2 linked regions of the Caenorhabditis elegans genome follow. The protein of the gene in region 1 interacts with the protein of each later gene in a pairwise test. Each region holds a gene or a part of one and is shown on either strand. Other genes may lie near its edges.

The links.
Region 2: the proteins of sao-1 (region 1) and sel-10 interact in a two-hybrid assay, tested with the Caenorhabditis elegans proteins (3 studies listed by BioGRID).

Annotation. Positions count from the first base shown.
Region 1 is NC_003283.11:13,961,711-13,965,767, reverse strand, and holds sao-1 (GYF domain-containing protein), read right to left. Parts: upstream 1,797-4,057; coding exon 1,721-1,796; intron 1,672-1,720; coding exon 1,544-1,671; intron 1,495-1,543; coding exon 1,375-1,494; intron 1,323-1,374; coding exon 1,170-1,322; intron 1,010-1,169; coding exon 947-1,009; intron 837-946; coding exon of another isoform or gene 831-836; coding exon 699-830; intron 657-698; coding exon 585-656; downstream 1-584. Other genes in the region: R10D12.13 (CCD97-like C-terminal domain-containing protein), read right to left, coding at 1,977-2,070, 2,348-2,454, 2,503-2,810, 2,862-2,997, 3,041-3,155, 3,206-3,351; algn-13 (UDP-N-acetylglucosamine transferase subunit ALG13), read left to right, coding at 3,813-3,866, 3,914-4,057. UniProt on the Caenorhabditis elegans protein: Involved in negative regulation of early and late embryonic Notch signaling.
Region 2 is NC_003283.11:13,817,438-13,821,496, reverse strand, and holds the start of sel-10 (F-box/WD repeat-containing protein sel-10), read right to left. Parts: upstream 2,137-4,059; 5' UTR 2,133-2,136; coding exon 2,043-2,132; intron 1,978-2,042; coding exon 1,910-1,977; intron 1,868-1,909; coding exon 1,771-1,867; exon of another isoform or gene 1,648-1,770; intron 1,537-1,647; coding exon 1,402-1,536; intron 1,354-1,401; coding exon 1,208-1,353; intron 1,160-1,207; coding exon 1,040-1,159; intron 980-1,039; coding exon 587-979; intron 240-586; coding exon 14-239; intron 1-13. UniProt on the Caenorhabditis elegans protein: Probable substrate recognition component of SCF (SKP1-CUL-F-box protein) E3 ubiquitin-protein ligase complex, which mediates the ubiquitination and subsequent proteasomal degradation of target proteins.

The DNA of each region.
Region 1 (4,057 bases):
TTCAAACAGTGAGAAGGAAATCAGGTTACCAAATGAGAGCAGAATAAAAGCCTACTAAAACGGTGGGAACATATAAATGGGGATAATGGAACATTTCGGGAGGAAATTAAATATTAAAAGAAATTGGGAAATAAAACAACACATAATAATGAAAAAGAGATAAATAGAAAAAAGAAAAACTGGAAGGGAAAAACTCGGGGCTATAAAGCATGGAGACGTGGGTGATGATGAGGGGGAAATCGAAGGGACAAGTAGAGAGAAAAGGCAAAATGAACAAAAATTGAATATATCAACATTATCATGAATGCGAAGGATGAGGGGGGAGGTGGAAAAAGAATAAAACGGTAGCGGTCGATAATGATAGACATGGATAAATGGGGGAAAATGTGTGATGAGTCCAACAAACTAATACGGGGTCAATGAGTTATGGCTCGCGAATTGCTGCAAAACTACGGAAACCCTCAGAATGTCACACACGGGTTCGAACGATTTGCCTCAATTCTCGAGCAAGCAGACGGTTTAACAATATGAACGGGAATAAACTGTAGATTGTAGACGGCAAAGAAGGAAAATGAAGAGAAGATTTAGTTGATGATAACCATTTGTCCGAGCAACTCGGAAAGAACACGAGAAGCCTGTTCCTTTGAAATCTGAAACTATTTTAAAATCATTTCTTTGAATGTCGAATAATATCTAACCTCAACTGGCTCTGTCTGGCACTCGACGCTCTTCATCACAACTTGGTCGGTGGCAACATTAGCGTGCTGCATCTGTGGGATGTGCTGATGGGCAAGAATTTGCTGATGATGGTGTGGCTTACGACCATGTCCCTGAAACTGGTGTGAACTGTATAACATTGCACAAAATTTAAAAATATTTCTCCTCGTTTTTTTTGATTAAACAGTTTCACACTCACACCTCCCTTTGATACATTTCTATAACTTACCGCCAGGCCAAGGGCAATTAGCCACGATGGAGGCTGCTGGAGAGTTTGCTCGTTTAACCGCGTCTAAATTCGAATAGCCGGATAAGAATTATTAGAGCTAATTATCAAGCACGCACAAAACGAGAAAATGATATATAAGAAGCCGGGGGTTCATGCAAAGTCATGCTAGGGACAAGTCATCACAAAAGCGCCGGTTCACAAGCAAGAAACTACAAATACTTACTTCGTTCTCGGAATCTGGGGTATGGGACAGAGATCCAGCGTCGATTGGCTCCGATGGTGGCTGAGAATGCATTTGAGCACCCATTGGTGGTCCATTTTGATTCATTTGATGGAGAAGCGGCATTGGAAGGAATGGTGGGAAACGCATCGGCATCTGAAAAACAAATTAATGAAAAATTGCAAGAGGATAAATTTTATTTTATCACCGGTGGTTGGAATTGATTTTGAAGTCCAGGTGGAACCATCATCATTGCTCCGTGAGGCCGCATTGAGTTCATCTGAGCAATCGTCGCATCCAGTGAGTGCACAGGCATACTGAATGGGTGCTGAAAACAATAATTGTCATGCCAATAAATTATAGAGAAAAATGCATACAGTTCCGAGCAATTGGCTCCACTCTCCAAGCGTATGATAGTTTGGCTCATTTTCAGTTTTCAATTGGAGACCGTCGTTGAAGTATCCCGCTTGAAGCCAGAACAGCATATCCTTTGACATATATGGTCCTGAAATGTATCACATTGAGTTTGAATTTCGTGATTTTTAGTTACCAACCATATTTTTCACTGTCAGGGCCGAGATAGTGCCATTTTGTGTCAATGACAGGTCCATTGTTTCCGTTCTTGTGCATCGCGCCGTCGGTATTTTGATGTCACTAGTGATAAACCCTGCAATTATTTAAAATAAACATAAACAAAATGAATGTAGATAAATGAAAATATAAGCAAAGGCCCAGGGACCTTGTCAACAACAAATAATATTTAAAAGTGAAAATAAATTTTTTTAAATGAAAATTAAGAAAAAAAAAGTATCAATCATCCTTCTCAAACCATCGTTCCTCGTCATCTCGCTCTTTGATAGGATTTGATAATCCAAATTCTTCACATTTTGAGTAGTCGTAGAATCTGAAACAAATTAGATTTTTCCATATGAAACAAAGAAGGAAATTAGAGTTTTCTTGTCTACAATGGACAGCATACAGGACACAAAAGTGGAGAAAGTCTTCTCATCGATTACATAATGGAAAATTGGATGGTCGAGAGGACAAGAAGAGATAGATGAGAGAAAGTGAGGAAAAGGAAAATCTGAGTTAGAAAGTACGTTCGTTGTGATTGAAGGTTGAAGGTCATAAAAAGAGAGACAGTTAGCGGAAATACAGATGTTATCTCATTCTAAACGCACTCTTTATCTTTTCCCGCCAAAAACTTCTGTTGCATGAAAGCCTCAAACTCTCGACGAAGGACTTGTTGCGTTTCATTCTCGTCTAAATCATCGTACTGCTCAGCTTCCTGAAATTTAAGATTTAATTGGACGTTTTCTCTGTCTCAATATCTCACAATTTTAGACAGTCTTTCCATTTCTTTCCGCATCGTTTCAATCTCATCCTCAACTTTTTCAGTGCTTTCTTCGTCTCCCTCCTCCTCTTCTGGCACAAAATTCTCGGCATGACTATCGACATGAGACATGAACCGGTTTATATGATCTCTTCCCCCATCATCAAGGTCCCGCGAGCCTTCCCATTCCCTTTCTTGAAGATTCCGGCGTTCAGCAATCTCTGTACTGTCCTCAAGGCGGTCCATTAGAGTAGACCAAGTAGATTCCGATTTGTCACGAGACACAGTTGGACGAAGATGGTCCATTCTTTCTGGAATTTATTAATATTGAATTTGAACTATTGCAAAGTTTAAATCGATACCTTCATCGTTCAGAAACTTTCCAATCATTGCATCAAAGAGATAGGGTTCCCTTTCTCTCATTTTCGCATCAGAGAAAAATTCGCCTTCTTTCAGAAGATTCTGCATCGCATTAAATCGGTAATTCCTTTTCTGAAACTGATGAAACAATTATAATCTTGTTGAACCACTCCCGGCGTACCTCTTTCTCAGTCATCTTTTGCTGTCCGCGGATTTGCTTCATGATACTCTGAACCACAAAATCATCATTATCAGCGAAAATTTGACCATCTACTGGTTCCAGGTATTTTTGATACCTAGAATTAGTAGAAAGGAATAATATAAATATACTTTAAAAAATAGAAACCTGGAGAGAAAAACTGGTAGTTTCTCCTTCGACAGCGTTTTCAGAATCTCCATTTTTTCATCTTCTGTCAGTTCCTCTTCATTCATTTGCTGATGCTTGAAAAAAGCATTTTTGTCGCTGATGATTCGCGAAAAAATGGCTTCCATCTGAAAAAGTAACGATCCCATCAATGTACGAACGTTTTTAAGAACTTAAAAGACAGAATCAAAGAAGAAACAAATTATGTATGGAAAAAATACATGAAAAATGTAAGAAATTGAGAAAACCAGGGTAAAAACTAAAGAGAATTTTCAACAATGAGCAGAGAGAAAATACGAATTTACGCGGGCTCCGCCCTTTTTTGCAGTTGCCGCGCGCAGTTTATGCAATGACCCGGCACGCATTCACTATTTCCAGCTTTTTATTTCCACAGAGTTTTTAAGCTTGGTTCTTGATTTATTTCTTAAAACTCTGTTTTAAACTAAAAGAAAACTTTAAAATTTAACCAAAAAAATTGTGTGTTTCTTAAAATCCAACAAAATTTGTTCCATCGTCTCTTTACTGTTTTCTTGTGTTTCCTTTGGGTTGATTTTCAGTTGTTTTCAGATTTCTCGCAGTTCTCTTCAAAATGAGTTGCTTCGTGACGGTTGGATCAACATTGTTCGAAGACTTGATAAATCAAGTAATAAAATACTCGGGTCTAATTGAACAAAGTTTGATATATTTCAGGTTCTTTGTGAAGCATCACTAGAAAATCTCAAAAAGATCGGAGTCAAGAAGATTCGCCTTCAAATTGGAAAAGGAAATTTCAATCAAGACGTCATTGATCGTGTTTTTGGAGAAACATCTGGAGATGAAGGATCTGTAAAGTGT
Region 2 (4,059 bases), 140 kb from region 1:
AAGAAAAACGTACGAGAAGAGAATAAACTCTATTGTTATGACCGGTCAGAGTACGGATACATCTCCCAGTATGAGCATTCCAAATTTTAACGGTAAAATCATATCCTCCCGAAACAACAGTTGTTCCATCGAATTGAACGCATCGAACGGCTGCATGATGGCCATGTAAAGTTGCCAGGTGACGTCCGGATTCTACGTCCCATACACGAAGAGTGGTATCTCGTGATCCAGTGACAAGTCTGAAAGTATTAAAATTAAAATGTATGGGTTGAAAGTGTGGTTATTCAGCGAGATTTTTCGTTTTCTTCTCATTTTTAAGATAGAAAATGTATTAAAAAAGTCTTAAACAACCAAATACACGTTCGTGTTTTTCTATTTTGAAACAAAAGTTTTAAAAAAATTACCATAAACTTTTTTTGTGAAATTAGATAGAATAATTTTCTTAAGATATAAATGATCTACAAATCAAAAACTTTCCATCAAGATTTGATATAGCTCGCAAATTAGGGAATTCAACTGTACGAAACCCGAAATTTTCAGTATTAAATTTCTTTTTCCAAGCAGTTATCATAGTGAATAGCCTTACATGGAACCAGCCATAGCCATGCATCGAACAGTGGAAGTATGTCCTTGAAGTGTATGAAGAAGTGAACCATCTACAGTACTCCAAACTTTTACAGTTCTATCAGTGGACCCGCTAACAATATATCTTCCGCATTGAGAAATCTGTGATGTCCAAACTCCTCCAGTGTGGCCGACTAGTGTGTACATAACCTCTCCTTTGTCAATACACCATACTTTAAGAGTGTTATCGTCAGATCCAGTCACCAAGACATCATCATGAATTTGCATACAAGTGATTACATGATCTTCGTGTCCTCGTAGCACTGCTGACCCCATAATTGGATTCGCATTCCAGTTCTTTTCAATTTTATCGGCTCGAAGATAACGTGACTTGTCAGCAGCGCGTTCGAAGATACTGAAAATAAATCGAATGTGATCGGAACGTCTTTAAAAATAATATTTCCAATAAACGTACTCTCCAAACTTCTGCAACTTTAGAAATCGATGAACATTAAGATCACATGGCTGAATGTGATCAGGAATAGTGACTCCAGCAGCAATTGCAGTTCCTTGCCACGCACCAGTAACTCGGTCTCTGAAAAGATAATACTAATCTCAAATAATTCCCGTTCAAAAGTATTACGTGGGATCTGGATGATGTTTAAACTCTTCGACACCAAGACTCTTCCAAATTTTGTCAATTTCAGATATCAATTTCCAATTTTTCGACACCTGTGCCACTTTGAGCAGGTCATATCCGGTTAAATTGTGAAGGATTTTCATTCCGAGCTGAAAAAGTTATATTTATAATTTTTCTTTCCGTTTCAACACAAATACCTCGACAGGGAGGCAGGAGAGGAAATCACGCTGGAAATGGGGTTCAATAATGGCACGCAGCTGTCGAATATTTGTCATGTTGGATTCCTGAAGCAGACGTGTGAATGCATCCATTTGTTCCGCGCTTGATAGATCCTAAAATGAATTCAAATTACACTTTTTTTCAGCAAAAATAGAGCGAATATGCCTGGCTGAGGTGCTCTCTTCAAGGTTTGGAAAAATCAATAATACACAGGTCACCCTCACCGGAGCTTGAATGCATTGTTTTGTCATGTTACTAATTATTGTCGCATTCAAATATTAATTTATTGCATGTGTATTAGCCGCAACGCTGAAAGATTGATCGCGACAATCAATCAATATGTTTACCTTGAATAATGCGATCAAATGTTCGACACGCGGATTGAGGTCGTTGTTTCGAGAGGGAGAAGCCGATAAATCAAGTTTGTGTTGCAAAGGTCTGGAACTGGTACGTTTTGCTATAAATATTCACTACAAAAAGGCTTACGACGATAATTTGTCAGCATTGTAGCTGGAAGAAGAGCCATTGCTGTACGAGCTTTCTTCTCCATTGTCCTGAAGACAAACATTTCAATTAGAATTAAATTATATTCTGAAAAGGGTTGTAAATGTTAACATACATTATATTCCATATCATTATCGGTAACAGGCTCCTGGTCCTCCGGTGTCATCGATCCATCATCCATGTGTACATCATTTCGTGGCCACATATGGCTGAAAAAGAATTGGAAATGAATAAAGGACAAAAACTACTGGGAATGAAGAATTTGAACACAAAAGGAAAGTCGATAAAACTATGATTTTCGTGAGAAAATGAGAAGAGAAGATGAAAGCTTTTTGCACGCGATATGCGTCAAGGCATCCAGTAGTGCGCCAATAACCGCTTGACGCATTTTCCGACGCGCACGTTTGTTCACTTGATGTTCACACGATGAAACATTTTCTATGCATATAAAGTGTATAAAGTTGATAAGATAACTTCAACAAATATTCTCGTGTAAAATAAAATATAAAATGTCCGACTTGTCGGTCACATAATCAGTTTCACAGAAGAAGCAGGTGTTCGATGGTCACTGCTGTTGCATATGACAGCTGGGTTCTCGTCCTTCATGATGGTGCAGAAAAATGTGTTCAACCTTGTTTCAAAATCATTTTTACGGAAAGGTTGTTTCGTATTGCACAAGTAAACCATCCTTATAAATTTCAGGATAATAAGGAATTTAAAAAACGAACTGCATCCCACGAAAACTCTTGTTTTGAAATTTTAAACTGAGTATATTAATTCAGTTTTTGAATAAAATAATACATATAGGTAATATGGTTTTTTAAAACAAGTGATTCAATTTACAACCACAAAAGAAAAATGATTTAAAATCTGTAACATTCTGAACGTAATGTGGTATTTCCATAACTGAATTCAAAAGAATTATGACCATCTGTGGCTACCGAGGGGGTAATTTTATGGAAATGAATACCATAAACTGACAGAAAAAGAGACACGAACACCTGCCACAATTGGAAACAATCGCTTTGGAATTTCTGTATAATATTTCTTCACAAATGTCAAGAACTATTTCTGATATGATAACACATTCATGACTAAACTGCAATTCCCATCTGAAATACGTTAGTTGAGTCATAGCTCACTATTTGCTCCATTTCTTTGTTTTTCACACTTTATTGGCTTTGTATTGCGGGGGGACGAATATGAAAGAATTGAGATGTGATTGAGAGGATTCAATTCATAAATTGTACTGATATTTATCAGCGAAAGTTAAAATTCATATTTGTCAGCAACACATCACATTTGCAAGATATATATTCAATATGCTAGAAATTGCACAAAACCGAAAAATACGATTATTTGAAATAGCCTACATTCTCTGAAAACGGAAATTCCGATTGTTCGACTTCAGGAGGAGCCACAATTTCCAACACTTTTGATATGTTTATTTAGTGAAATAAAAACTGAAATAAAATCCAAATCTATTCAAGAATGACGTTGGTATCAGACAATAAATTCGTGAAATATATTTTTATTTTCACGCCTTTCTACCTATATCATTTCGATAAAAAAAGGACGACGAAACATGAAAATAATTAAATTAAAATAATTTGGCAATTTTGATACTAGTCCAGCTCCAGTATGTCAAAAAATTCGATTAGTTGAAAGAGACCTGACCAATTCGGAAATTTCTGTAGAACGATTTTGGAAAGCTGAAAAAATGTTTTCTTGGAAGATTTTCACATTATAATTAAAATTTGAACTGCAAAACTATAGAAACAAAAACAGAATAAAAATGAGCTCTAATTGTAAATTTAAGGATAAAATCAAATACCAACATCATACGTGTTGCCAAAATTTAGGGTTTTCGGTATGGTGTCTAGAAAATGAAATAGTGGGTATACCTGATTTAAAATTAAAAAGTGTTCAGTCTGTTGTTAAGACTATTATATGTTGCCCACAAATTATTAAAAATGGGTATTTCAGAAAAACAAATGTATTATTTTTGTAGAGCTTTATTTATTTTCAAATATAAATGGCCAACTTACAAACTTTTTGATTACAATATGATGATCTGTTTGTTGGTTTATCGAAAAACGGCATGTTCAGAAATTGCCGAAATTGAACATTTT